2 linked regions of the Cricetulus griseus genome follow. The protein of the gene in region 2 binds, or shares a complex with, the protein of the main gene of each other region. Links are inferred from orthologs where the notes say so. Each region holds a gene or a part of one and is shown on either strand. Other genes may lie near its edges. The genes, in order: Trim28 and Smarcad1.

Region 1 (14,679 bases), on a different chromosome or scaffold from region 2:
CAATCCAAATCAGACCAAATGAAACCGCAGGGCGTTGGGTGGTGCATGCCTTTAATCCCAGCACTCAGGAGGCAGAGGCAGGAGGATCTCTGTGAGTTCGAGGCCAGCCTGGCCTCCAGAGCGAGTGCCAGAATAGGCTCTAAAGCTACACAGAGAAACCCTGTCTGGAAAAAAAAAAAGGAACCGAATTAGAAAAAGCCCACATTTAATGGATATAGCTCTCCCAGATGGCCTTCCGGTCCCCCAGAGAGGAGAGGGGAAAGGGAGACCAGAAAAACCATGAGTCTGGTGTCTGGGGGGCATTTTAAATACCTTGTGGGAGTGGTCGTGCTGGCTAATTTTCATGCCAACATTCTGTAGGCTAGGGTCATTTGGGAATAGGGAACCTTAGTTGAGAAACTGTGCCCACCAGACTGGCCTGTGGGAAAACCTTGTTTTGTTTTTGAGGTCTCTATAAGGTAACTCTGGCTGTCCTAGAACTTGCTATGTAGACCAGACTGGCCTCTGCTTGGTGAGTATTGGGATTAAAGGTGTGCACTGCCACACCCAGCCCATGGGACTTTTTTTTTTTCCGAGACAGGGTTTCTCACAGAGATCTGCCTGCCTCTGCCTCCAGAGTGCTGGGACTAAAGAGGTGCCCCACCACCGCCTGGCCCATGGGACATTTTTAAAATTACTGATTGAGGTGAGACAGTTTAGGTGGGTGGTTTTGTTCCTAGGTAGGTAGGTGGTCCTGGCTGTCTAAGAAAGTGCATGCCTTTAATCCAACACTCAGGAAGAAGGCTAATTTGACCTATGGCATTGGCTTTCACAGTCTTCATAGATTTTCTCCTTTCTATCCATCATGTTTGAATTTCGAGGTGGGTTTGTTACCCACTTTTTTCTGTCTAAAAAAAGTGCATAAGATTCTTCACCCTACACCCCTTAAAAAAAAATTTAAGAATTCAGGGGCTGGAGAGATGACTCAGTGGTTACGAACACTGACTGCTCTTTCAGAGGTCCCAGGTTCAATCCCCAGCAGCATTCACATGGTGGCCCACAGCTGTCTGTAACCCCAGTTCCAGGACACCCTCACCCAAGGCACATAAAAATAAAATGTATTTTAAAAAATTAAAACAAGGTTTCATTGTGGGAAGGGCTTTTCTGGAACAAAGGAAAGGCAAATAATCAATGCCTATGCTCACATGTCCTAACCCTGTGAGTTGTAGCTGGCTTGTATAATGCTGAAGGCTTTGGTGTCCTGTCCAAGAGTCTGTCTGTGGCCAGGCGGTGGTGGCGCACGCCTTTAATCCCAGCACTTGGGAGGCAGAGGCAGAGGCAGGTGGATCTCTGTGAGTTTGAGACCAGCCTGGTCTATAAGCGCTAGTTCCAGGACAGCCTCCAAAGTCACAGGGAAACCCTGTCTGGAAACCCCCCCCCCAAAAAAAAAATTCCAGCACTGGGGAGGATGAAGCAGGAGGACTGAGGCCAGCCTGGTCTACAGAGCTCCAAAGCTATACAGAGAGACCTCATATTGAGAAAAAAAAAAAGTCTGTTCAAGTATCGACTATTATTATGTAAAACCTAGGCTGACCTTGAACTTCCAATCTCTTCTGTCTACTTTGGGAATATGGGATTACAGGCATTAGTCCCCACCCTAGTTTCTTCATTTTTTTTCTTTTGTTGTTGCTATTTACTTTTATTTTATGTGCATTGGTGTTTTGCCAAGGATGTCGGGTCCCCTGAGACTGGAATTCCAGACAGTTGTGAGCTGCCGTGTGGGTGCTGAGAATTGAGCCCTGGTCCTCTGGAAGAGCAGTCAGTGCTCTTAAACACTGAGCCATCTCTCCAGATCTCTCCTCTCCCCAACCCTGCACCCCAGTTTTTTATGGGTTTGGAACCCAAGACTTTGTGCATGCTTGGTAAGCATACTGCCAACGGAGTATACATATCCTTAGTTCCTCGTTTCTTCATCCTTCTTTTTGCTGTACTGGGGACTGAATCCAGGGACTTGAACAGGCTTAGCAAACACTGCTGTACCTCTGGGCTATTTCCTCAGTCAGTCCTTTGGCTATTTTCTTCTTTTTCTATCATTCTTTGGCTATTCACTATGCTTCCTTCTGTCATCACCATGTCTCCAATTACTGACTTTCCCATATATATTGTTTTGTTTTTGGTTTTTTTTTGTTTTTTTTTGGTTTTTCGAGACAGGGTTTCTCTGTGGCTTTGGAGACTGTCCTGGAACTAGCTCTTGTAGACCAGGCTGGTCTCGAACTCACAGACATCTGCCTGCCTCTGCCTCCCAAGTGCTGGGATTAAAGGCATGTGCCACCAACACCCAGCCAAACATATATATATATGTATAATATATATGCTATATTATATATTTTTATGGTGGAAACTCCACCCAAGGCTCCTCCCCTATCTCCAAACCCTGCTGCATTTCATAAAGCCTGCCAAATGATGACCCTCCCCCAGAGAAGCTCAAGACCCCTCCCACAGGGTATTTAAACTGCCCCCTCCCCCCCAAAAAAAGACTTGTGGGTTTTCAGGTCTCCCTTCCCCTATCTCCCCTCTGGGGGACTGGTCAGAGATCTGGGAGCGTTGTATCCATTAAATGTGGGCTTTTTCTAATTCGGTTTGATTTGGTCTGGTTTGGATTGCTGCATCAGTGGAGAGGCTTATTGGGGTGTAGAAACTTTTCATATATTTATATCCGGAGCTAATGGAAGAGCAAGAGCATCTGGAGAACCATAATTAATACCATGATTAATATGAAGTTTAAACTGGTGACGGCCGGGGCTGGAGAGATGGCTCATTTGTTAAGAGCCCTGACTGTTCTTCCAGAGGACCCGGGTTCAATTCCCAGCACCCACATGGCAGTTTACAGCTGACAGCTGTCTGTAAACCCAGTTCCAGGGGATCTGATGCCTTCACACCAATACATATAAAATAAAAAGTATTACAACAAAACAAAACAAAACTGGTTACAGCCAAGAGTAGTGGTTAAGGATATCCTTAATTCCAGAACTCGGGAAGCAGAGGCAAGCTGATGCAATGTCCTTAATTTCAGACTCAGGAAGCAGAGGCAAGCTGATCTCTGCGAGTTATAGGCCAGCCTGATCTGCAAAGGGAGTTTCAGGACAGCCAGGGCTGTGTAGTGAGATCCTGTCTGGTCATGGTGATGGGGTCGGATGGGATGTTTCAATGCTAGGCATGTTGGCATTCCCCTGTAAGCCCAGCTACTCAGGAGGCTGAGGCAGGGGAACTCAGATAATAGCTTGACAGGCCACACAGGGAGTTTAAGACTGGCTTGGGGATTGGGCAATAGAGTAATCACTGCCTCAAATTAAAGCAAGCAAACAAAAAAGGCTGGGGATATAAGGCAGTCAGTGAGAGGTTCAGCACTTGCCTACAGTCCCCCATTAAGTTAGGGGGTTTGCTCAGTGGTGGAATGCTGACCTCACTTGCAGGAAGCCCTGGGCTTAATTCTCAGCACAATACACCCTCATCCATCAAAATGTATATATCTTAGTTTCTGTAACATCTAAGCGTTTATTGCTTAGGAAAAGGAATCTTTTTTTTTTTTTTTTTTTTTTTTTGAGACAGGGTTTCTCTGTGTAGCTTTGGAGCCTATCCTGACACTCACTCTGGAGACCAGGCTAACCTCAAACTCACAGAGATCTGCCTGCCTCTGCCTCTTGTTTGCTGGGATTAAAGGCATGCACCACCACTGCCCAGCAATTTCAGTATTCTTAAACAGGGAGATTATTTTTAATCTGAGTTTATCTGGTGTGTTCTAAATACATATATTGACATTTCTTGAACTTTTATTTTTGATTTTATGTATTTGGATATTTTGTTTGCTTGTTTTTTGAGACAGGGGTTCTCTGTTGTTTTGGAGCCTATCCTGGCATTCACTCTGTAGACCAGGCTGGCCTCGAACTCACAAAGATCTGCCTGCCTCTGCCTTCCGAGTGTTAGGATTAAAGGCATGCACCACCAACGCCTGGTGATTTTTCTTTCTTTTTTTTTTAATTATAATTTTATGTCCCTGGTGCTGGAGGAAGTGAGAAGAGGGCATTGGATCCCTTGGAACTGGAGTTACCGATGGCTGTGGGATACCACGCGGGTGCTTGGAATTGAACCTCTGATGCTCAGCAAGAGTTGCAAATGCTCTTAATCCTTTTGTTTGGGGCAGGGCCTCATTCTGTAGACCAGGCCAATCAGAACTCACTAAATTAACAATGTGCTTTTTTTGTCGCTGTTGTGGCAGACTATGTATCCCAACTTGACTTCACTATTTAGCACAGGCTGTCCTCGAATTCATCCTGTTCTGCCTCTGCCTCTACAGGGCTAGGATCACAGGCACCTGCCAAAGCACTGAGCTACATGCAACCCGTGTCTGTCCTGCCATGGGTCTTAGCACCGGTTTCTAGCTAGCTACAGGGCTTTTTTCATTTTGGGGGGACGGTGTCTGATAGTTACTTCTGTACTTTCTACCAATACCTATTAAAATTTTAAGTTGCACAGGGTGCGGTAATGCTCCGCATTAATCCCAGCTCTCAGGAGGCAGAGGCAGGCGGATCTCTGTGAAAATCGAGGCCAGCCTGGTCCACAGAGTGAGTTCCAGCACAGCCAGGGCTACACAGAGAAACCCTGTTTTGAAAAAGGAAAAGATTAAATTGCATTGGTTGTGGTGTGTGTATGTGTGTGTGTGTGGGGGGGGGGTGTGTGGTGAGTGCACACGCATGCACAGGAACCTAGGACAACCTGAGGGAGGGAGTTGGTTCTTTCCTTCCACTTTGTGGAAGGATTAATGATTAAACTAATAGGGTCAGGGTGGGTTGCAAGCGCCTCTGTTCGCTGAGCCATTTCCTCGGCCTCCATCGCCCCTCTCCCGCCGCTCACCCCCATCCCGTGCCCTGGTTCTGCTGGGCTGGTGCTGCAACCTAGGGCTCTGCACAGGACAGGCGAGCAAGCGTTCTGCCCCTCTTTCAAACCCCCAGGCCCCACCATTATCTACTTTGATCTTGCGTCTGGTACCCTAATATCTGCTCCGGGCCTAGGTAGCCTTAGTTCACAGGCCCCTTACCCTGGAGATCCCGGGGCCAGCTATGGGTGGGGCTGTGAAATACTCCCCAAATACTTCTACGGGACGCCCACACTTCCCCCCATCCCCCCCCCCGTGCTTGCTTCTCCAGCCTGCAGATTATGCCCTCCTTTTTGGAGGTAGGAAGTGAGAGTCCAGGCGCTGGGTCTGGTGGGGGCGTGGCCCGCTGGAGGGTGAGCGCTGAGCTGCGGGAGGAAGGAACAAAGGCTGGGGCGGGGACAAAGCCCCGGGCCCCCAGACGGATTGGGAACAAAGGCCACACCCGGGACAGTGGCGGGACACTCACTCCTCGCCTCTCCATTGCCACGTGGGGGACACCTGGTTCCCCAGCGAGGTGGCAGCTTCCTGCTGTTTAGAACCCTGGACCTGCCAGCGTGCAGCAGTCCAGACCTAGGGTGCACACCGAGGGTGCTCATGGCACTACACGAGGCGGCAGGGGCGATCGCCCTCAGCACGGGGCTGGGGCGGGAAGGGGGGGGGACAGATCGCCTTCCCCACACTGATCCTGGGACTCTTAATAGCCACGCAACCCTGCTGATCTCTTCAGATCAGATTCATCTTGGACCCTGCTCCTCTCCCGGGACAGGTCCCGATTGCCTCTCTCTCGGGGTCCCCGTCCTGCCCCTCACATGAGATCCGCCACTCCCATCCAACTTTTATTCCTCCGCTGCGCTAAACGTTCGGCTCGCCCACCCTCCCGGCCCGCTTTTAAACCCCAGGCAAATCAGGAGAGCAGATGGCTAACACGAGAAGGGGTGATGGGGGTGGGCAGAGTCCCCTCGACAGAACGGCTTCTCCCTAGTCCTTTGTGATCCATCTACGGGGTCCACTTGGGCGAACTTTCTGCTTCCCGAGTTTTAACAATAAAAAAAAAAAAAAAAAGTTTGCGTTGAGACCGCCTCCTCCGCGTTCCGGCGGGAACTTCCTTCCTGCCGGAGACCCCGCGCGCCCCCTCCACCTGGGGCTCAGTCTCTCTCTCTCTCTCGGTGCTCCGCCGCGGCCCCGCCCACTCGGGAATCGTCCCGCCTCTCCCCGACGCCGATTGGCCCGCCGGAGGCTGCAGACGTCGCCCCGCCTGCCGAGGGGGCGTGGCTTCGAGGTGCAGCTCCGCACGACCCGCGCGTTTCATCCGCCTCGAGCCTGGGAGGCGTCGTCGCGCGCCCTGCTCTCTCTCTCGATCCCCGGCGGATTCCCGCACGCGCGGGGGAGGGAGGGGCCGTCGCTCTTTTTTCTTTTTATTTCTTTTTTTTTTTTTTTGGGGGGGGGAGGAAGAGGCGGGCGGCCGGGCGCCGCCGCGAGCCGCAGGCCCGGGCACACCGGCGCGTGCGTAATCGCCGCTAGCCCCGCCCTCTCGCTCAGCCCGCCCGCGCCCCGCCCCGCCCGCCCGGGGTGGCGGCGCCCAGCGCGCGTGCGCGGCGGCGTCGGGCGCCAGATATTTCTGTCCCGCCTCCGGGCCGCGGCTCTTTCTGCGAGCGGCGCGCGGTCGGGGACGGTCCTTTCGCGAGTCGCGAGCCGAGGAGCGCGAGGTCCCCGGCGGCGGGCCGAGGCGGAGGAGGAGGAGGAGGCGGAGGAGGGGGGCGGCGCCGTCGTCGTCGTCGTCCTCGTCGTCCGCAAGGGAGCGAGGCCGGGTAGCCAGCCGCGGTTTTTTTTTTTTTTTTGGTTTTTGTTTTTTTTTTGTCTTTTTTTTCCTTTCTATTTTTGTGTCGCCTGCGTCCCCAGAGGCGCGCGCCGCGCGGGCGTCGGCCCCGGGAAGACGCGTGGCGGCGGCGGCGGCGGCGGCTCGGCGGCAGCGCAGGCTCGGCCCGGCCCCGGCCGTTGGCGGCGAGCGCTCGTGCGCCTGCGCGGCGGCCTCCGCGCCCCTCCTCCCCCGGGCGGGCCCCCCCTCCCTCCGCCCCCCGCCCCCCCCCACCCCACCCCCCACCCCCCGGGGCGGGAGAATGGCGGCCTCGGCGGCTGCAGCAGCCTCGGCGGCCGGCCGCGCGGCCACGGCGACCTCCGGCAGCCCCGGCTCGGCGAGGGCCGGCGGTGGGCGGCGACAAGCGCCCCGCCGCCCTTCTGCGGCCACGGACGGCCACGGCGACGGCGACGGCGGCGGCGGCGGCCTCTGCAGCGGCGGCGGCGGCGGCGTCGCCCGCGGGGCGGTGGCGAGGCGCAGGAGCTCCTGGAGCACTGCGGCGTGTGCCGCGAGCGCCTGCGGCCCGAGCGGGAGCCTCGGCTGCTGCCCTGCCTGCATTCGGCCTGCAGCGCGTGCCTCGGCCCCGCCGCACCCGCCGCGGCGGCGGCGAATAGTTCCGGGGATGGCGGCGGCGGCGCGGCGGCAGCAGCGGCAGCATCAGCAGCGGGCGACGGCGCTAGTGAGTGGGGCTGGGTGGCCGGGGGACCCCTCCCCCCTCCTCCTCCTCCTCCCCCCTCCCTGCAGCCCTGCGCCTGTGCGAGAGTCTGGGGGGCTCCCCCCCCACGTAGGGTAGCGGAGGGGAGGGTTGGGTTAGCCCCCGGTGGCTTTAGGCTGGGGGTGGGGGGGTGGGACACACGAGCTCTTGGCCTCTGCGCTGATGTGCGCGTGGCCCCCCTGGTCCGCGTCCGCGAAGATGCAGAGTGTGGTAGGAGATGGGAAAGTAGCGCCAGGGCAGGGAGAAGGGTAGATTTGTGTCTGTCTGTGGTTCCAGCCTTCTTGGGGGGTGGGGGGTGGGGGGAGGCACGCAGGTCACAGCCTTCTTGGAGGGGGGGGGGAGGCACGCAGGTCCGGAGAATGTCCGGCGTTCACGCCCTTGTGTCCCGCAGTGGTGGATTGTCCAGTGTGCAAGCAGCAGTGCTACTCCAAAGACATCGTGGAGAATTATTTCATGCGTGATAGCGGCAGTAAGGCTTCCTCCGATTCACAGGATGCTAATCAGGTGCGTTGTCCTGGGGGAGAGAAAGGGGTTGTTGCGTCCTTTTTCTGGAGCCTCACCATCCTCAGCTTGCTTGGCTGTTTTCGGGATCTAACCCCAGCTTCCCGGAGGGCAGTACAGATTTGAGGGCATGGTTATAGGAAGTTTAGGTTGTGTGTTCTGGGAAGTAAGTGGCGTGTCTGCTGCGCGGTTCTGCCGATTCTAACCCTCCTCTCTTTCACAGTGCTGTACTAGCTGTGAAGATAATGCCCCAGCCACTAGCTATTGTGTGGAGTGCTCTGAGCCACTGTGTGAGACCTGTGTGGAGGCCCACCAGCGGGTGAAGTATACCAAGGACCACACTGTGCGCTCCACAGGTAGGTGAAAAATTGGAGGCTGTTGGAGCTACCCTCTTCTTTCATTTGCCCAAAATGGCTGCTTGCTGGATGGTTTTCCAGGGACCTGACACAACAGAAAAAGTTCCTGGGTTCAGTAATCTGGGGTTCTAGATGGGAAGGGAAAGGTCCTAGCCAGGCAGTGTGTGTAGGGTGTCTTAAGTATGTTGCAGTCAATACTAAGGATTGAACTAATACCATCTTGGGAAACTCAGACAGTGAGTGAGTGGGTCCTGGTGGTAGACACCTTATCGTAAGCAGCCAGTGAAAGCAAGATGGAAATGACTTTTTGGATTTGAATGTTCCCTGTCTGGCTTCTGGCTTTAGATTGCTGGAAAAGTAAGGGCTCTGGATCAGGCAGGGTTTCTTTTATTTTTTCATTAAAGATTTATTTATTATGTATACAGTGTTCTGCCTGCAGCATATATTCATGCAGGTCAGAAGAGGGCACCAGATATTACAGATGGCTGTGAGCCACCATGTGGTTGCTGGGAATTGAACTCAGGACCTCTAGAAAGAACAGCAAGTGCTCTTAACCTCAGAGCCATCTCTCCAGCCCCCAGGAAGGGTTTCTTGACCAACCATCTTGACAGGTTGGTAAGGCTTTGGTCCATCAGTAAGGGTGAGTCCTGGAATGATTTCCAGTGAGCCTTAAGTATGGTACCTTCCCTGAAGACTCATGGTCAGATAATCTAGGATTTTAAATTTGTATGGTGGCTTGGGTGTGAAATAGATTTTGATTTTGGGGTGGGTGGGTGGTTTGGGCCAGACAGATGCCTTAGTGGGGAGCAACTTTTTGGTGTGATAGTTGTATTGATTCCCACCCCAGAGGACAGGGTGCTGGTGGTAGTGGAAGGTAGTGTGGGGGTCTGAGAAGCCAGGAGGCATAGGAAGGAATCTGTAGGTTCTGTCAGGACAGAACAGGGGTACAGCACTGGGTAATGATGACTGGCCTGTGTTCTGGTACGTAGTTTGGGCTTGGTTAGTATAGTCTGGATTGGACTAGAATTGGGAGGAAGGGGACTGACAAGTCTATTAGTTTCTGTTTTGGTGAGATATTGTCTTATTATAGCCCAGGCTGGCCTTGGACTCTATTTGTTTATGTTTTTTGAAACAGGGTTTCTCTGGCTTTGGAGGCTTTCCTAGAACTAGCTCTTGTATACCAGGCTGGTCCTGAATTCACAGAGATCTGCCTGCCTCTGCCTCCCAGTGCTGGGATTAAAGGTGTACACCACCGCCCAGCGGCCTTGGACTCTTGATGTTCCTTCCATAGCTCCAAAATTGCTTGGATTAAGCCTGGCGGTGGTGGTGCACACATCTGATTCACAGAGGCAGGGTAGCTTCAAGGGTAGCTTGGTCTACAGAGTGAGTTCAGGACAGCCAAGGCCAGACAGAAACTCTTTCTACAAAAACAAAAGGCACTTGCCAGTATGCATGGTTTTACCCCAACCCCTTTTTTTTTCCCCCAAGACAAACGTTTTTTTCTGTCAACAGCCTTGGCATCAACTTAGATACCTACCTTTGCCTCTTGTGCTCTGATTAAAGGTGTTGCTACACCCAGCATTTCTGTATTTTGAGAAAAGGTCTACAGAGCCATTCCTATCCTTTAACCCACCATGTAGACCAGGCTGGCCTTCACACTTAACAGAGATCCTATTGGGCCTCATCAGACCTTTTTGGGAAGATAGGTTAGTATGTAGTCCTGGGTGGTCTGTAATTCAGGTTGATCTCAATCAGACTCTGTCTTTGACTTCTGTCTGCCTTTGTCTTCTGAGTCCTGGGATTATGTCCAGCCTCTCTTGTTTTATGCTTTTTTTTTTTTTTTTTTTTGGATGGGGTGGGTCTGAGGCAAGGTTTCTCTGTGGCTTTGGAGGCTGTCCTGGAACTAGCTCTTGTAGACCAGGCTGGTCTCGAACTCCTTCTGCCTCCCGAGTGCTGGGAGTAAAGGTGTGCGCCACCACCACACCCGGCCTCTCTCTTCTTTTCAAGATGATCAGTCTCAGCTACAGAGACAAGTCTGGCTTTGGAGTCACTATCTGTAGCTTACCTTGAACTTGTGGTCATCTTTGAGTTTCCTGGGTGCTGGTAATGTAATTAGCTTTTTAATGGGGACGTACTGGTGTTTTGCTGTCTGGGTGTCACTAGTCTAAGCCATCACGATCTTGTTTATTTGGGGATGGTTTGTTAGAAAGACAGATAACCAGGAAATAGTACGGAGGTTCTTCACAAGCTCTCTGTATCCAATATTGTGGATGGTGTGGTCATCTGGGAGACCATAATGCTTCGTTGTTGATGTAGGTCTTCTCCAGAGGTGGCCAGGGTTGTAGGAGGAGCTGGAAATGGATGTGGGTTATGTCTGCTCTTGAGTTGGAGATGGTTAAGGGCATGATTCCTCCTTCGCAGGGCCTGCTAAGACTCCAGATGGTGAGCGCACAGTCTATTGTAGCGTCCACAAGCACGAACCCCTTGTGCTCTTCTGTGAGAGCTGTGACACTCTGACCTGCCGGGACTGCCAGCTCAACGCTCACAAGGACCATCAGTGAGTCCAAAGTCACAGTGGGTAGGTGGGTGCCACTGCTTGCAAGTTGAGCCTGCAGGCTCACTTTTTTGTGGTTTCAGGTACCAGTTTTTGGAAGATGCAGTGCGGAACCAGCGTAAACTCTTGGCCTCTCTGGTGAAGCGCCTGGGGGACAAACATGCCACACTGCAGAAGAACACCAAGGAGGTTCGCAGCTCGTAAGTGCGGGTGCCGGGGCTATTGGGGTGCCGGGGCTATTGGGGTGCCGGGGCTATTGGGGTGCCGGGGCTATTGGGGTGCCGGGGCTATTGGGGTCCTGGGGCAAGGCTTTCTGGCTTGACTTGTCGTGTGCATTAGTATCCGCCAGGTCTCTGACGTGCAGAAGCGTGTGCAGGTCGATGTCAAGATGGCCATTCTGCAGATCATGAAGGAGCTGAACAAACGGGGCCGGGTTCTGGTCAATGATGCCCAGGTGAAGCTCATGTTCCTGGCATGACCCCATCCTGGGTGGAGAATGGTCCTAATTTCACTGCCTTGCCTTCTTGCTAACCCTGTTCTCCTTGACCTGCAGAAAGTGACAGAGGGGCAGCAGGAGCGCCTGGAGCGCCAGCACTGGACCATGACCAAAATCCAGAAGCATCAGGAACACATTTTGCGATTTGCTTCTTGGGCTCTGGAGAGTGATAACAATACAGCCCTCTTGCTGTCTAAGAAGCTGGTGTGTAGTGTGGGCTTCATTGAGCCAGGTGGCCCTCGGCACCTTTGGGACCCTCTAAGTTGCCAAGTGGGCTCATGTGCTGCCTTTCTGCCCCTTTGCCCCATCAGATCTATTTCCAGCTGCACCGCGCTCTCAAAATGATTGTGGACCCCGTGGAACCTCATGGGGAGATGAAGTTTCAGTGGGATCTCAATGCCTGGACCAAGAGTGCGGAAGCTTTTGGTAGGTAGTGTGGGCTTTGCTTTTGCCTGACCTGGGGAGCATCTTGGGCAGTACTGCTTTCGTCTATTGAGAATTTTCTCTTGTTTAGGTAAGATCGTGGCTGAGCGTCCTGGTACAAACTCCACAGGTCCTGGGCCCATGGCTCCTCCAAGAGCGCCAGGGCCCCTAAGCAAGCAAGGCTCTGGCAGCAGCCAGGTGCGCTGGGGAGAGAAATCAGGAAAGGGGTGAGGGCCATAGGGTGCCGTGGAGTACTTGCCCCACTGATGAGCATTCTCTGTTCTTTCTCTAGCCCATGGAAGTACAAGAGGGCTATGGCTTTGGGTCGGGTAAGTAGTTTGCCTGGGGAATTGGAAGGGCTTGGTGAGTACCCTGTGTCTGTCTTTTCTACCAACCCTTTGTCTTCCCACAGATGATCCATACTCCAGCGCAGAGCCGCATGTGTCTGGCATGAAGCGGTGAGTGTGGCAGCCCGTTGGGTGTAGTACTTTAGCGGTGTGGTAGAGAGAGACTCGTAGGATCTCATAACATGCTATACTTACAGGTCCCGCTCTGGTGAGGGGGAGGTAAGTGGCCTCATGCGGAAGGTGCCGCGTGTGAGCCTTGAACGTCTGGATCTGGATCTCACTGCTGATAGCCAGCCACCAGTCTTCAAGGTCTTTCCTGGCAGCACCACTGAGGACTACAATCTGATTGTTATTGAGCGTGGTGCTGCTGCAGCAGCTGCTGGTCAGACTGGAACAGTGCCTCCAGGAGCTCCTGGTGCCCTACCGTTGCCTGGCATGGCTATTGTCAAGGTGAGTCTGTCCTAAAATGCAGAACAGTGGTTAGAGAGGGACATCTGTCGCCCCAGATTTGGATATAATAACACTCAGCCTGTTTTATAGGAAGAAGAGACAGAAGCTGCTATTGGAGCTCCACCTGCTGCCACTGAGGGTCCTGAGACCAAGCCCGTATTGATGGCTCTGGCTGAAGGCCCTGGTGCTGAGGGACCCCGTCTGGCTTCACCTAGTGGCAGTACCAGCTCAGGCCTGGAAGTGGTGGCTCCTGAGGGTACCTCAGCCCCTGTAGGTGGACCAGGTGTCCTGGATGACAGTGCCACTATCTGTCGTGTCTGCCAGAAGCCAGGTGACCTGGTCATGTGCAACCAGTGCGAGTTTTGCTTTCACCTGGATTGCCACCTCCCTGCCCTGCAGGACGTGCCAGGGTACGTGTGAGGGTGGGCAGCGTCAGGTGATCGGTCACGGAGGGCTAGTTGTCATGATTGACATCTCTGCTACTCTTCACCATAGGGAGGAGTGGAGTTGCTCACTCTGCCATGTGCTCCCTGACCTAAAGGAAGAAGATGGAAGCCTTAGCCTGGATGGAGCAGATAGCACTGGTGTGGTAGCCAAGCTCTCACCAGTCAACCAGAGGGTGAGGGCTGAATGCATAGGAGTTGGTCGGGTGGCCCAGTAGCTGAAGCCCTCATCCATGCTATAACTCTTGACGTCTCTTGTACTGCCTGCCTAGAAATGTGAGCGTGTTCTTCTGGCCCTCTTCTGCCACGAACCCTGTCGTCCCTTGCACCAGCTGGCTACTGATTCTACATTCTCCATGGTGAGTTCCATCCAGAACAGAAGAGTGTGGGTTATGCCAAGAGGTGGTGGGTGTTCCTTATGCCCATGTTTTCTCCCTGCAGGAGCAGCCTGGTGGTACCCTAGACCTAACCCTGATACGTGCTCGTCTCCAAGAGAAGCTGTCACCCCCTTATAGTTCTCCCCAGGAGTTTGCCCAAGACGTGGGCCGCATGTTCAAGCAGTTCAACAAGCTGACTGAGGTGGGCCTGCAGCTGAAGCCGGGAGGGCGGGGCGGGGCGGGTGCCAGGACTCACCACTGCACTCTAATTGGGCAGGGCGGGCAGGGCTGGCGGGGTGGGAGCCAGGACTCACCACTGCACTCTAATTGGCCCAGGACAAGGCAGATGTGCAGTCCATCATCGGCCTGCAGCGCTTCTTTGAGACGCGCATGAATGACGCCTTTGGTGACACCAAGTTTTCTGCTGTGCTGGTAGAACCGCCACCGCTGAACCTTCCCAGTGCTAGCCTAAGTTCTCAGGAGCTGGCTGGTGGTCCTGGCGATGGTCCTTGAAGCTGGAGCTCTTGTGGTCAGCCCAGTCAAGCTCTGGTCTTTGTCCTTCCACCCCGTTTCCCCTCCTCCTTTGGTGGCTTGACTCCTGCTCTTGGTGGCCCTGTCCTTCAGTCCCTCCTCACAAAATGGTTTTTACTTCTGTGGATTTAATAAAAACTTCACCGAGTCGTTCATGCCTCAGCTGTTTGGGGACTATATTCCCGAGGATTTAGGCTCTCACTCCCTGCATTAGTCACCATATCAAAGACTTCACTTCCCAGGGAAGGATTTGTACACTACCTAGTGAGACTCTGGTTGAGGTCTCAAGTGTACCATCTGCCTCCCAGTGGCCACATAGATAGGAGCTATCAGCTTGCACTAAAAAGATGGGTTGTGCCGGGTGTTGGTGGCGCACGCCTTTAATCCCAGCACTCAGGAGGCAGAGGCAAGCGGATCTGTGATTTTGAGTTCAAAGCTCCACAGAGAAACTCTTGGCTCAAAAAACCAAAAAAAAAAAAAAAAAAGGGTTGTGTGCTGAGTTGAGATTCTAGAGTTTCTCTATTGGTCTCCCCTCCCCCCACAATACAGGGTCTGGCTTTCCTGGGACTCTGTAAAACCATGCTGTCCTTGAACTCAGATCTGCCTGCCTGTTGAGAGTTGGGATTAAAAGTTTGTACCATCAACACCTGGCAAGGATTTGTTCCTTCTTGCTTAGGATCCTGACACCAGTTTGTTTTTGACCTATGACTTCCCTGTAC
Region 2 (15,349 bases):
TATGTATTATGTTCTAGATGTACTTTCTTAAAATGTACATAGCTTGTAAGAGTCAGGTTAAAAGGTAAGGCTCATCTAGATAGTTCTGGGTATTTTTTGTGTGTATAACCAAAATATCAAAATTATATATTATAGAAAATTTCTATATTAGTATAGAAAATTAGCAAATTACTATTAGCAAAAATAAAAATCTGTAATATTTGTTGTTTCTTTGTCAGTTTATCACTCAAGCCCTATCAGAAGGTTGGTTTGAATTGGCTGGCCCTGGTGCATAAACATGGACTTAATGGAATCTTGGCAGATGAAATGGTGAGTTTATACTATTAATAGAATTTTTAATTCAACATGTCATTAAAAGATATGTTGTCATTTGAAACATGGCATCATCTCTTGGAGTTGTTTGCTTTCTTGTGGTTTTTGTTGTTCTTTGGTTGGCTGGTTGTTTTTGTGGCGCTAGCTATCAAACCCAGGGCATGCTAGGCAAGCATCCTACCATTGAGCTACATCCCTAGTCCTCCATTGGACATTACAGTTTTTGCTGCTCTTATTTCAGTATCTTACACTTTCTCTTATCTTTCTTTGTTTTTATTGCTTTAGTTTTAAACCTCACTCCTCCACAACTGAAAGAAGTTTATCTTTCTGGTTATTATTTTATATCAAAGTAAATATTGTATGGCAATATCAACAAAATCATTTCAGTATCATTTTAATTTTATTAAATGTCTCTCTGAGTCATTTTTCCCCAAATTACAATTGGTTTTTGGGATAAGCTCATGAAGTTTGTTATAACCATTAGTTTAGGTATTGTCATATATGAACTTAACTGTTAATCTGATGTGTCCTCCACCTTCCTTCAGCTGTACTTGTAAAAAAGCATTTGTTGAACATGAGTTATATGCTGGCTATGTTGCCCCAGTACATGGGAGACAAAGGGTGGAGGATTTCAAGTTTGAGGGCAGCCTGGCTCACATGCAAACCCTACCACAAAAAGTAAAGCAAACAAAGAAAAGGTTGGGTCCAGTGAATAAGCATTGGATACATTAAATCACGTTGTCTACTGGAGTCTAAAAAATGGACAAACATAATACTGCTATTTCTGCATATTTAAACTGTCACTCTATACTTACTAAAGATGCTATTATTCAGTGTAAAAGTAAGTAATGTCTGAGGCATTTCAAACTTACAAAAATCAGTTGTAAAGAGCATGGCAGTTGTATAAATGAACTTGGGAATCAGACCTGGGCTTTGGATGCCAGCCTTGCCTTTCATGGACCATCAGATGACATAATCTTTCAGAACTAATATTAATAAAAGTATATAGTTTTTATACCCAGATTATATTTGCTATCAAAAAGCCAGGTGGTGTTGGCACACATCTTTAATCCCAGCACTCAGGAAACAGGCAGGCGATCTCTGTGAATTCGAAACCAGCCTGGTCTACAGAGTGAGTGCCAGGAGAGGCTTCAAAGTTACACAGAGAAACCCTGTCTTGAAAAATCGGAAAAAATAAATATATAAAAAGAATATGTGAAGTTAATTTTGTTATCTATAAAGCACAAATTTGTAAGTTGCATTAAATTTAAGTTTGCCAGAACAAAAATACCATGATCATACCATATAAGTTTGTTTCCCATAGAAGACCAAGATGTAGGTGGTAGCAGGCTTGGCTTCTTTTAATAAAGGCCTCTCCTCTTTTCTTGCAAGCAATGACATTGTTTCTGTGTCCTCAGATTTCATTGCCTTTTTGTGCCAATCCCTGAGGTCTCTATCTTCTTAAAAGGACATCAGTTTGAGTGGATTAGGACACCACCTTCAAGACTGCATTTACCTTAAATCTCTTCCTTATGGTCAGTCCTCTAAATACCGTTATCATTGCATGTTAGGACACCAGCATATGTATTTTGAGGAAAGAATACGTTGAGTTCATAACAATGAGTTGGTGCTACTTAGATCTCTTGAAGTGCTTGTTCACGGACCTTTTGTGTTGTGCCTTGTTTTTTTGTTTTTGTTTTTTTTTGTTTTTTGTTTTTTGTTTTTTCAAGACAGGGTTTCTCTGTGGCTTTGTAACTAGCTCTTGTAGACCAGGCTGGTCTCAAACTCACATAGATCAGCCTGCCTCTGCCTCTGCCTCCCAAGTGCTAGGACTAAAGGCCTGGCTTGTTTTTGTTTTGAAGTAGGGATTCATACTATTTCCCAAGCCAGTCTGGAACTTTCTGTACTATAGCCCAAGATGTTTGTTCTTAAACTGGCCTAGATCAGCCTGCCTCAGCCTCCCATGTGGCTGAGGTTACAGAGGTGATCCACCAAGCCCAGCTCTATACCTCAGTTCTGAAACCTGTCATTAGAGGCTGACCTCAGGCTACACTGTATACAGTTCATTCTGTCTGGCTCATTCAATACACCTGATGCTACTGGGGTTCATCTGCTACTATTTTATCAGTTTGTTTTCTTTTTTAATTGCCATGTAACATGGTCTTCTTATCTGTCCTTAAGAGTGCAATTGCATAATAATAGAGTTAGGTATATGTTTTGATCTAGTTATGAAATATAGTTCTCAGTCCACCTAGGTCACAGTAAGTTTTGTGCCTATAATAAGCAGAATTAGTCTTCTTCTAATACAATGCAAAATTCTTTCCTATTAAATGTGTGTCGTGTATAAACTAACTGCTAAGATTCATTATCTATGCTGCTCATTGAAATAAATTATAGAATCATTTGTGGAGATTTTACTCAGTTCATTTGAGGGCTATGAACTTTGTTGGAATTCCGAGAAGTGGATTATGGGAAATGGAAAAATCAATCCTGCCCAGAAATGCTCCTTTTTCTTTGTTACTTTAACTTACTTATTTCCATTCATTTTAAAGTTTCATATATTATCTTTTAAACTTTTAATTTTAGGGCCTGGGAAAAACCATTCAAGCCATTGCATTCCTGGCATACCTTTTTCAGGAGGGTAATAAAGGGCCTCATTTGATTGTTGTTCCAGCCTCGACCATAGGTTTGTAATACTGGGGACAACTCTTTGTGTTTTTCATGATGTCTTGTATTGGTGTGCATATGTGGTGACGAATATCAATTTTTTTGGCCTGTTTTCTCTGTTTTGTAAACGTCTCTGTGTGTGAGATAGAGAGGGTGGAGTGGGGAGGAAGGATGAGGGTGAGTGAGTTTGGGTTCATTGACAGTGGTTTCAAGGAATTTGACGTGGTCATTTATTTTGATTTCATAATACTTAGAAAGTATTTTTGTAGAATCAGCGGAGCTGGGTGTGATGGCACACACCTGTAATTTTAAGTGCTTGGAAGGCAGAGTCAGGAGAACTAGGGTTCAAAGTCATCTTCATATGTATATTGAGTTTGAGGTCAGCCTGGGCTACAGTCTGTGTGAAGAAAAATATAGCCAAATGCAGAAAGTATACAAAAAATATGGTGTAATTTTAGGAAGTAGGAGTTGAGAAGAGGTCTTACTATACTGTCTATCCATGCTTCCATGAACTCTTGGAGTTGGGTAATCCTCCTGGCTCAGTTCCTGGGTAGTTGGTATTACTACCCTACCCAACTTTAAAATAAATATTTGAATCTAAAAGTATGTCATTTCATTCCTGCTTAAATCATTCATCTATTCTTTCTGAATTAATTCAATGTACAAGTTGGGGTGAGAGAGTTTTTTTGCATTTAAGTATACAGTAAAAACTGTCTCTGAGCTGGGTTTTCACTTAAATGAGGTTGTGTTCTGTTCCTTTCCTCTGACCTTGATGCCACTTCAGATCATGAGGGGTGATATTCATAGTGCTGATTTCAAAACAAAACTGACTTAATAAACCTATAATAGCAGATTCAAATAATCTCTTGTGTTTTGTAGATAACTGGCTAAGAGAAGTTAACTTATGGTGCCCCACATTAAATGTGCTCTGTTACTATGGTAAGTCATTTGATTTTCATCATAAAGTTCTTCAAAATTAAAACAGATAATGAAACACAATTGATACAATCAAAGTATGCTTCATTTTTGAATTCTAGGCTCTCAAGAAGAACGTAAACAAATTAGATTCAACATCCATAATAAATATGAAGATTACAATGTAATTGTTACAACGTGAGTAATAAGAAAATTTGGGAGGAGGTGGAGAGAATTTGTATAGTTCTCCTTTTCTTAAAATTTCATTTATTTATTTATTTATTTGTTTGTTTATTTGTTTATCTTTAGGTAGGGTCTCATTATATAGTCCTGGCTGGACTAGAACTCTGTAGATCAAGTCCTGCCTCTGCCCCCCAAGTACTGAGATTAAAGGCATGTGCTACCATGCTCAGCTAGAAAAATATCTTGTAATAGTAATGTCTAGGTTAGTTTATGCTGGGACTGTGCAACTGAAGTGATAGGGTGATTTATGCTCACAAAGAAGGTATTTACACAACTTATTGTGTAAAGCTTTTTTTGTGTGTGTTTTTGTTTTGTTTTGCTAGTTGGCTAAAAATGGGGGTAAGATTTTTGTTCATTTAATTGAAAACATAGCAAAACTCAGTTAAGCTTAAGTTAAAATTTGAGGTTCCACACCAGTAGTTTATTTTTCTAACTTGCAAATAAGTGTTGATAATAAATATAATGAAGTCTCCTGCTCCCAGTGAAAAGTCTGAATTAGGCCAGACTAAGGATGATAACTACATTATTTCTCTTTGTTTCCTTCTGTTTTTTTTTGTTGTTGTTGTTGTTGTTGTTTTTGTTTTTTGTTTTGTTTTTTTGTTTTTGTTGTTGTTGTTTTTTTTGAGTTGGGGGGTTCTCTTTAGGTGGCTGGTCTCAAGTTCATTTAGCTGCTGAGTATTTCCTTGACCTCTGGATCCTTTTGCTTGCTCCCTGCAGTAGCTGAGATGTCAGGCTAGCACCACACCCAGTTTCAATATATCTTTAAATAATCACTGTGTGGTTGGAATTATTGTGTGTGAATGCATGGTGGAAAGCTTGATGTTTTTATAACACATTTAAATTATTATTACTGCCACCTTCTATAGGAGTCCATTAGAAAGAATTTGTCCAAAATTTCAGTTTTTTTTTTAAGGATTTAAGATATTTCATGTATGAGCATATGTGCCTAAGTGTGTCTATACGCACCACTTGCCTCTAGTTGCCAGCAGAAGCCAAAAGAGGGTTTCAGATCTCCTGAATCTGTAGTTACATGCAACTATGAGCTGCCAGGTTAGATGCTAAGAATGGAAACCAGGTCCTCTGTTCAAGACCAAGAAGTGTTCTTAACTGCTGAGGCATCTCTGCAACCCCCTTTAAAAAGATTTGTCATTTTTGTCTTAAGTATCCAGAACCCATATATAGTCTTGAACTCTTGGGTGTTAACCAGTAGTTCTTTGAACTACTCTTCTGTTTCACCTTTTGTTGTATTCTGCTTCTTAGAAAAACTTATGGGGCAGAGTATACAGCAGTGCTAGATTATTTCTTTTTTTGGTTTTTCGAGACAAGGTTTCTCTATGGCTTTGGAGGCTGTCCTGGAACTAGCTCTTGTAGATCAGGCTGGTCTCAGAACTTACAGAGATCTGCTTAAGCGCCTCTGCCTCCCGAGTGCTGGGATTAAAGGCGTGCACCACCACCGCCCGGCAAGTGTGGCTTGAATCCACGACCCTAAGATTAAGAGTCTCATGCTGTACCGACTGAGCTAGCTGGGCGATTATTTCTAAGTTATTCTGAAAGTGACTGCTTCCCAAGTGTGTCAGTTGTCGAATATTGTAACATTTAAATTTCCTTTTGGTTAATATTGCATACTTTGATTACATGTATGTAAATATTCATAAAAATAAGCAATATTTGACATCCTGACTGTTTAGTGTTGTCTTGTTAGAGCTATTCAAAATGTCAAAAGAAAATAATTCAGAGACCAGTGAGACAGTTTAATGGATAGGCAATTATCCCTGTACCAGGCAACCTGAGGAAGGAAAGAACATGACCTCTACACCTATCCCTTTGGAGTCACACGTGTACTTATATAACAAACAATAAATAGATGTAATTAAATAAATTTTTAAGAAAAAACTCCTAAATGGTGTAATGTGAAGTAATTTTTTTTTTGACAATAGATATAATTGTGCAATCAGCAGTTCTGATGATAGAAGTCTCTTTCGACGGTTGAAACTGAATTATGCAATTTTTGATGAAGGCCACATGCTGAAGAATATGGGCTCTATCCGTTACCAGCACTTAATGACAATTAATGTAAGTGTGCTTAATAAATAGTTATGATAAAATTGACTTTTCCCAATGTAGCTCGTGCCCACACACACGGGGAGGGCGGGGATGAGTTAGTTTTATATTAAGGAGCCAGCATGCTTTCTCTTTAAGGGTCTTTACTTCTTGGTGGGCCCTGGGGCCACTGTCATGGTTTTTTTTCTTTCATGAGTAATTCTTTAAAAATTAAAAAGAAACATGAAGACAGAATTTCATGCCCAGTCCCACAGCCATTTAGTCCCAAATAAACACATAGAGGTTTATATTAATTATAAAGTTTTTGGCCAATGGCTCAGGCTTCTTACAGGCTAGTTCTCTCTTAATTGTTAATCCATTTCTATTAAACTATATATTGCCACGAGGCATGTTACTTCTTTGACAGCTACATGGAGTCTCTCTGGTGAATCTCTGCCTTTCTTCTTCCCAGAGTTTTCCTAGTCTGGTAGTCCCACCTGTGCTTCCTGCCTGGCTAATAAGAGAAACATATATTCATAGCATACAGAAGGACATCGCCCATCAGAAATACTCTTAGTACTATGTTGCACAGGAGCTTCAATTTTGACAGGATATATATATATATATATATATATATATATATATATATTACAGTTTATCTTTTATCACTTCATAGAAGTTATTTCAGGATGCAAGTTACTACTTTCAAAACGTGACCAGCAGTTTCACATTCTGCCTGAAGTATATTAGATGATAATAACTGACATCAATATCTCAACTTTTCTTCTATCACAGAATGTAAAACTCTTAATGATGATTATAATTTTTTAATAGCCTTTATTGGACAAGGTAGACAAGAAGGGAGCGAGAGGCACTTAAAGAAAATTAATCTATGTTTTGTCTTCATTTTCTCAGGCAAATAACCGTCTATTGCTCACGGGTACACCTGTGCAGAATAATCTGTTAGAGCTCATGTCATTATTGAATTTTGTTATGCCACACATGTTTAGTAGTAGTACAAGTGAAATCCGGAGGATGTTTTCTTCTAAAACAGTAAGTATGCATGCATGTTTTCCCCAAATGTATAGCTGTTGGTCTAGGCTCTTCACTCATTTCATCTCTTACTGTTTTCGTGGTACATGCTCTATCAAGTGAGATTAAGTGCTTGGTATACCTATATGTGAACATATCAGTCACAGTATGGAGAAAAATAATGATCAATTCTATTATCAGTATTCAGGAGTTTTGACTTTTTTGAGCTGAGTAATAGTTTCAAATTGGTTGAAGAGCTCAGATATCTTGCATTATAGGCATATTTCCTTTTTAAATATGTGCTTTATTTGGCTTCCATTAATTTTAATACCTTATACAATTATCATTATCAAAATACCATTATCAAAACAAAACTTGTATAATACTATCAACTAAAAGACAAAGTTTGGAAACTAGTACTTAATACCTAAATTAGAAAGATTGCCCATCTTGGAGAGGATGAATGGGCTTTCCAAAGCTAGAACCTAGGGCTTGGTCTTAGAATTTAGGATTTTCAGATACCCAAGGATTTCCTGTCTGCATAGTCACTTTCTTGGGAAGCCAGATGCTTCTGGGAGTAGAGTGTAGAGGTCTTACCCAGAAGGGACTATTAACCCAGTGACTTCCTGACTTCCCTTTAGATCTACCATGTAGAGTCTGATGAGAGAGAAAATAGTGTGTTCTCAGACTCATCATTTATTTCATAAGGATCGCTCATGGTCTATGACTCAGAAACTATAATTATTGTTACATTTTAGAGGACAATATGAACATTCAAAGATGCCCAGGCTTTATGCAACAAGCTCCATTTTACTGCTTCATCCCATGGCTCTTGTTCTCTACCTGCTGCAGTGGAAAGAGAGTTGACTGCACTCAAGGGGTTCCAGTTCTCTTCTTTGAGCTGAGGGACCTTATCTAAGCAGTCTCTTTCTTGAGCATTTTACTTGAGGCTTGAGAACATCCACCCCTGAGATCCTTAAGATGGCCTTCACCTTTGATTTTCCTATTTGCCCACATGAGCAATGTGCATGTGTACATTCGGGCAAGAGGTTGACATGCGATACCTTCCTCTTTTGTTCTCCACCTTATTGTTTTACTATTATTAATTTATTATTTGATAATTTCATATATAATTATAATGCATTCTGGTTGTGTTCATCCCCCACCCCTCTCTTAACTTCTTCCTACTTCCATCTGCTACCCTCTTCTAGCCAAGTGCCAATCCCACTTGGCAAGCCACTGGGCTTAAATCACATCTATCATCTATTTGAGCATAGGTAACTCACCAGTGGCTATACCTTGAATACAATGATTTTGATTTTCCTAGCATATCTGACTACTGTTAAGTCCTCTGGACCAGGCCAGGCCTAATGATCCCTGCTCCCATCTGTGATTAAGTGTTTAGCAATTCTGTCTCATGCATTCCCCTAGTCAGTCTCCATTGCTGTGCCACGGCCAGGCTCTACCCATAGGACAGCATTTCATGGCTCTCTTTCCCATCATCTGATTCTTATACTCTTTTCTGTTCCTTCTTCCAGGGTGGCCTGTCAGCCTTACAAAGGGTGATGTGAATGCCTTGTTTAAAGCTGTGCACTTGTTTAAGGCTGAGGACCATACTAATCTGCTGTCCACTGGGATGTACACTAACCATTGCTAGGTTTCTAGGGCTCTGTGAGCTTGTCTGTTCTTTAAACCTGTCTCATCTCTGGACCACTGATTCAAGTGCCCATCAGCACTTGGTACCTCTCCACTGAACTGAAACACTATTTCTGTTAGACTTGATTTGTATTTTTTCTTAAAAGATATCTGTGGATTGTTCTACTGTCCATATCTGTCTTTTTGGTCTTTACTGATTAATTGCTCCCACTTGATGTGCAACTATAGAAATAGACTAGGAGATTTTATGAACTATTCTTCTAGTTCATAAAAGCTCTAGTTTATGGGTACTGTCCCTGTTTTTAATTTCTGTGATTTGTATCAAATTATTGACATTGGGGAAGACCTCTTTTTACAAAAAAGGTTGTTGCCCCCCCTCCTCATTCTCTCTTTAAACATGAGTACACATTTTTAATCCATGTGATTTATTCAGTCAGTGACTGAATTAGATGGTTGGGTTCTAAAGACCAGCTAGTCTGATTCAGGTTTATTACTTCAGTAAAATACATGATAATATAATGGGAATCCTCAAAATGTATATGGAGCTTCAAATACATTACAACTCAGAATTTAAAAGGAACTTTCTGGGCCCAGACAATAGCTTGGTGTAAAGAACCTACCTGTCATCCAAGGCCATGAGTTAGACGGTCAGATGTGCATTTCTATCTGTGAATCGAGGGTCTGCAGATTATGCATATTGTAAAATGAGATTGTTGGGATGATTTAAAGACATGACTTCTAAAGGGTTGGATTTTTATTTTGCTTAGAAACCAGCAGATGAACAGAGCATATACGAAAAGGAGAGAATAGCACATGCAAAGCAAATCATAAAGCCGTTTATTCTCAGAAGAGTGAAAGAGGAGGTAATTCTTTATCTCAGTGTTTTGGGTTACAGTTTTTTTTTTTCTTAAGAATTGTTATTAGAAAAAAAATCTTAGAAAAATCATGAAGTGATTTTCCTTTCCAAGGTTCTCAAGCAACTGCCTCCTAAGAAGGATCAGATTGAGCTGTGTGCAATGTCAGAGAAGCAGGAGCAGCTCTACTGGGGCCTTTTCAACAGATTGAAAAAGTCCATTAACAACTTGGGTAACATTTGACTTCACAGCTTATGGAAAAGAATGATCTTAGACTAGGGCATGTGATAATTAGGGGTTGTTGTTTTTGAAAAGTTAGCTGGGTTTTGAAGAATTTTTGTTTTCAAGACAGGGTTTCTCTGGGTAGCTCTGGCTGTCCTAGGACTTGCTCTATAGATCAGGTTGGTCTTGAACTCACAAATATCTCCCTCCTTCCTGACTGCTGGGGTTAACAGCATCCACCACCACCACTGCCTGGCTTGGAATGTATTTTTAAGTCTTAAAAATTAAGGTAGACTTTAGTAAAATAGCTCTCTATTACTTTTTTAATGTATACTCTCTGGACCACAGAAAAAAACACAGAAATGTGCAATGTCATGATGCAATTGAGAAAAATGGCCAATCACCCTTTATTACATCGCCAGTATTATACACCTGAAAAGCTGAAGGAGATGTCTCAGCTAATGCTGAAGGTAAGGGCTTATGCTATACTTCCACTGAGCTTTGCTAACACTGGGAAATATTTAGGATAATCTTATGATGAAAGTCAGGCTGCTTTAACATTGGGCATATTAATCTTTGAACCACTGCAGGTCTCGCGCATGTACCCAAACTCTTCATCATCTATTCTGTAGCCCTATCCTGAAATACATTTTATAGGCAAAGATATCTGAGGGACAAAAGAGAAAGGACAGATAATTAGGCCTAGCATCAGCAAACTGGGCCAGTAACTCTTCTTTTGTTGGAACACAAACATGGCCATTTATCTGTGTTGTTTTCTTAGGGTTTCTCACTGTAGAATAGAGCTGAGTAAAAGTATAGTACACAACACTCTCTACCTACCAAGCGAAAAATTCTAGTATTTACCAGCTGCCCCCGACCTTTCATGCTAATTTCTCAGCTAGACTTTCATAATACACATTTTTAAGTTAAAAAAAAAAAAAAAAAAACTAAACTGAAAGATCCCTCAGATTTGTTCCTGGCTAATGTGACAGGTTTCCCGTTTATTTTCTCCAGTTTGTTTTTCCTTTGTTGTATTGTTAGTTTAGTCTTTATTTTTGACTCATTCTTTCTTAGCTCCTTTTTGTAGATAAATCTATATTGAATGCAACGAATTGTCCTAATTATTTTAAACTTATGGAGAATTTTAAACACAAAAATACAAAGAATTCCTATAATGGACCCTCTGGCCATGATACTGTGATATGTTTTTAGTTAGCATTCATAATGCTACTATTCTTGTTTCCTGTAAGCCCCTAGATAACTTTGCCAAGATTATTTTGAATTTTCTGTTCAATTTTTAATTCCAAATTATGAATAATTATTTACATGGTAAGGGCAAAAAGGGTGCTTTTATATGTTAGTAATGACTGTCTCAATAAGAACTGTTCAAACAAAATAGGAGAGGATGTTTTTCCTCTGTGTTTGAACATGCTCTCTCTATAAAAGTTAAGAAATCTCCCTTTCTTTGTGATACTCCAAGTTAATACTCATTTCTAATCTTTAATCTGTTGAACTAAAATATTGGCTGGCTTGAGTATTTATTCAAATGTGAAATGTTTTTATTAAATTAGTCTTGTCATATTATGAATTGATTATTATTATTATCTTGGTGTGTGTGTGTTTCATTTTAAAAAGGAACCTACACATTGTGAGGCTAACCCCGACCTGATCTTTGAAGACATGGAAGTTATGACAGACTTTGAACTACATGTACTTTGTAAACAGTATCGACACATTAATAATTACCAGTTAGACATGGATTTGATTTTAGACTCTGGGAAATTCCGAGCCTTAGGATGCATCTTGTCGGAATTGAAACAGAAGGTATTTACAAGGATAACTGTCTCTTTGTATCTGCCCAATTGAATTTCTGAAAAAGAAAGTATCAGAAGAATGACTTGGGCTTTGTTTTTGTCCTAGTCAGTTCTATCTCCTAAAGATTAGTCTATGTATAATAGGTTCTTCTTTTTGTAGAACTTCAAAAAAAAATCATTATTTTGAAGGTAACAGATTTTGTCAAATGGTACTGCAATTTGTATGTAATAGCTTGGATTTTCAATGTTAATTTCCAAGTAGTGATTATGTAGCTTATCTCATTGAGTGATGCTGTTGTATTATGAAAAGGATTAATCTACTGCATTTAACTTAAAAAAACTGAGAGTTAAACTTCTGAAGTTCAAAAGTTAAGGTAATTTATCCATATATAAGGTAAAATAAATTTATCCTTGGTAACATTATTTGATTTTTTTTCCTTTAAAAAGATTTATGAATACTAAATAATTTTATCATGGGGAATATTCTGCAAAGTTGCCAAAAGGCTCTTTAAAGGCACTCCTTATTTTGTAGACCTCAAGGCTTTGGGTGGTGTAATGGTTTTACTTTCCTGTTTCTAATCCATAAATGTATTTCCACAGGGTGATAGAGTTGTATTATTCAGCCAGTTCACCATGATGCTGGATATATTAGAGGTTCTTTTAAAACATCATCAACATAGGTACCTCCGATTAGATGGAAAGACTCAGATATCAGAAAGGTTGGTATTAGCTGCCAGACCTCACTCATTTGTGTATCTGCTAGCATCGTAAATGTAGGGAACATTTCATAGAAATTTCTTGTTTTAAATCTTAGGCTATGTTATTTCAAATTATTACTTGGGGTGTGGGTGGTGGCTCTTGTTTTCCTTTAATATATTTTCTTTTGGTTTTGCAATTGTATACAGATATAATCTTAAGTATTATATGTATGGTTTTCATTATTTCCCCTTTTATATCATTTTTATTTTGCAGTGTTAGGGATTAAATCCAGGACTTTTTGTATGCTAGGCAAGTACTCTGTAACCAAGACATAGCCCCAGTCCTGAGTTTTTCTCTTTTAAAAATAACTATTCACTTTTAAGGCATCTTACTGTTTAACCAACATTGTTTTAAGGTCAGATTTTTCATATTTTGAAGGTTAATTAAACTTTAAAAGAAAAAGTTCTTTTTCGACAGGAGCATCTAACATTTGAGACCAGCCTAGGGTACTTAATGAAACAGCCCCTGTGCCCACCCCTGCCAAAAAGAAATCAAACCCCAAGATCAGTTCTTACAGGTTTTTTTAAAAAATGAAGAAAATAGAATAAATTTTCTAATCGGTTTAAGTGGCATTTGTATCCTGGTTTATTTTTATCAGCTAGGGTGATCTCTTCTCCCCTCCCCATATTAGTGTTAAGGATCAAAGTCATGACAAACAAATCCTAAGATACAATTAGATCGTGCAGTTAATCCAGTATATTGGTATCTACTGGTAATAGCTGTCAGATTGCTGAGAAAGTTAGAGTAGATAAGTATTATTTACCTAAATCCAAAGTACTCAAAAAATATAGTAGTACTTCAAAAATTAATTAAATGGAATAGTTGGATTGAATTGAGAGGGTCCTTCAGACATAGGAGAGAAGAAAGTATGTATAATGGGACAAGCATGTATGTATAGCTCCTAGGTTTACTTTCCATGTGAAGTGATTGTTTTCAGTTTTACATATTTTCACTTAGTGAAATTGAACCTAATCCATTTGTCTTACAGGATTCATCTAATCGATGAGTTTAATACAGATATGGATATCTTTATATTTCTCTTGTCAACGAAAGCTGGTGGATTAGGAATAAATCTGACTTCAGCAAATGTTGTTATACTTCATGACATTGATTGCAATCCATACAATGACAAACAAGCAGAAGACAGGTGCCATAGAGTTGGTCAGACTAAGTAAGTATTGTCAGTTAAAATTTAGTTTTCATCAAGTACTGGCTTGATTCATACAGATTACTAAAGAAGGTGTGCTGGATAACCCTGCCTTTAGGTTTAGTTTTTACAGCAAAGTAGAGCTGCTATTTTTTCTATCAGCATACATTGATGCTATCTATTAAGTACTATACTATGTACTCACTCACTTTCTAGTAATTAAATTAGCCTCCTACCTCTAATAGTTCTACAGTTATGAGATGTGTATTATCAGTAGTGGTAGTTCATACCTGTAACTGCATCACTTGAGAGGCTAAATCAGATTGCTACAAGGTTCAGGCCAGCCAGCCTGACCCTACAAAAGAGCAAGTTCTAGGTCAGCCTGGGCTCCAAAGAGACCTGCCTACAAACAGGAAAAATAATGTATGCTAAGATAATCATGCTTGTCTACAAATGCTCTTCTACCAAACTCTATCTCCAGTTCCATTGAGGTTTTATCAGTAATTTTCAAAGTACACATATTTTTCTGTTTTCTTCAATCAGTAGGAAAGGATGAATGTCTGAACATTTTAGTACTTCTAAATGTCAGTCTCAAGTAGTTTGAATAAAAGAGGTTAATTATGAATCTTTGTTAGTCACTGTTCTTTCTATTGCTGTGAAGAGACACCATGACTGAGGCAACTCTTACAAAGGAAAGCATTTAAAAGCATTAAACTTGCTTACAGTTTCAGAGGCTTAGTCCATTGTCATGATGGTGGGGAACATAGCAGTAGGCATGCTGCACATGGTGCTGGAGCAGTAGTTGAAAGTTCTATGTAGGCAGAGAGACACTGGCCTACTGTGGGTCTTTGAAATCCCAAACCCACCCCTGTGACACACTTCCTCCAACAAGGCCACACCCCTTCTAATCCTTTCAAATAGTGACACTCCCTTCTGGTGACTAAGCATTCAAATATATGAGCATATAGGGGACATTCTTATTCTAACCACCAGAGTCATTTACTTTTCTTACTGTTCATTTGTTTGTTTGTTTTTCAAGACAGGGTTTTTCTGTGTAGCTTTGGAACCTGTCCTGGAACTCATTCTGTAGACCAGGCTGGCCTCAAACTTAGATCCGGCTGCCTTTGCCTCCTGAGTGCTAGAATTAAAGGTGTGAACCACCACTGCCTAGTCTTTTCTTCTTATTATTCTTGAACTACTAGAAATAGGTATCTAAATGATTTTAGTGACCTGTGGACATGTCATGTGTTTATTTTTAGAGAAGTATTAGTTATTAAATTAATAAGCCAAGGAACCATTGAAGAGTCCATGCTAAAAATTAACCAACAGAAGTTGAAACTAGAGCAAGATATGACCACAGTAGATGAAGGTAAGCTGTTTTTAAGTAGAAATGCTGATATTTATTAAAGTATAGGTTACTAGAGTTCTTAACTATTGTTTATGGTTTGTAGGAAAAGATATGCATACTTATGTCAACTGCAACAGTAACTAAGATTTTTTTTTTTGCCAGAATTGATAAAAACACCTTGATTTTTTAAAACATCTGTTTTTTCCATATCATATAATGGACACCATAATATCCTCCAAATAAAATCAAGTTTAGATCTATACCTTCATTCACAATTTTATGATATGTTCAATAAATGAGTAGTACTATCAACTCAAAAGGTTGAAAGCATATTTTATAG

The links.
Region 1: the proteins of Smarcad1 (region 2) and Trim28 are in contact, whole or in part, in a crystal structure (PDB 6H3A), measured with the Homo sapiens proteins. The link is inferred for Cricetulus griseus from reciprocal best matches to the Homo sapiens genes SMARCAD1 and TRIM28. Residues at the interface, in NP_001362784.1 of Homo sapiens: Asp156, Leu157, Ala160, Lys161, Gln163, Thr164, Glu167, Leu168, Phe169, Asp188, Gly189, Ala190, Ala192, Leu196, Ala201, Gly202, Gly203; in NP_005753.1 of Homo sapiens: Arg330, Trp333, Thr334, Lys337, Ile338, His341, Leu376, Lys377, Ile379, Val380, Asp381, Val383.

What each region holds. Positions count from the first base shown.
Region 1 is NC_048602.1:25,606,897-25,621,575, forward strand, and holds the end of Trim28 (transcription intermediary factor 1-beta), read left to right. Parts: intron 1-5,048; coding exon 5,049-5,100; intron 5,101-5,215; coding exon 5,216-5,399; intron 5,400-6,451; coding exon 6,452-6,715; intron 6,716-6,811; coding exon 6,812-7,446; intron 7,447-7,873; coding exon 7,874-7,986; intron 7,987-8,206; coding exon 8,207-8,339; intron 8,340-10,760; coding exon 10,761-10,896; intron 10,897-10,976; coding exon 10,977-11,093; intron 11,094-11,232; coding exon 11,233-11,347; intron 11,348-11,446; coding exon 11,447-11,593; intron 11,594-11,700; coding exon 11,701-11,815; intron 11,816-11,903; coding exon 11,904-12,010; intron 12,011-12,104; coding exon 12,105-12,141; intron 12,142-12,224; coding exon 12,225-12,270; intron 12,271-12,356; coding exon 12,357-12,609; intron 12,610-12,699; coding exon 12,700-13,019; intron 13,020-13,104; coding exon 13,105-13,228; intron 13,229-13,324; coding exon 13,325-13,411; intron 13,412-13,493; coding exon 13,494-13,631; intron 13,632-13,765; coding exon 13,766-13,942; and 2 more. UniProt on the Homo sapiens protein: Nuclear corepressor for KRAB domain-containing zinc finger proteins (KRAB-ZFPs).
Region 2 is NC_048601.1:77,804,200-77,819,548, reverse strand, and holds part of Smarcad1 (SWI/SNF-related matrix-associated actin-dependent regulator of chromatin subfamily A containing DEAD/H box 1), read left to right. Parts: intron 1-218; coding exon 219-309; intron 310-2,898; coding exon 2,899-2,998; intron 2,999-3,858; coding exon 3,859-3,918; intron 3,919-4,016; coding exon 4,017-4,092; intron 4,093-6,074; coding exon 6,075-6,210; intron 6,211-7,092; coding exon 7,093-7,230; intron 7,231-9,632; coding exon 9,633-9,728; intron 9,729-9,833; coding exon 9,834-9,951; intron 9,952-10,289; coding exon 10,290-10,411; intron 10,412-11,576; coding exon 11,577-11,765; intron 11,766-12,355; coding exon 12,356-12,474; intron 12,475-13,502; coding exon 13,503-13,685; intron 13,686-14,920; coding exon 14,921-15,030; intron 15,031-15,349. UniProt on the Homo sapiens protein: DNA helicase that possesses intrinsic ATP-dependent nucleosome-remodeling activity and is both required for DNA repair and heterochromatin organization.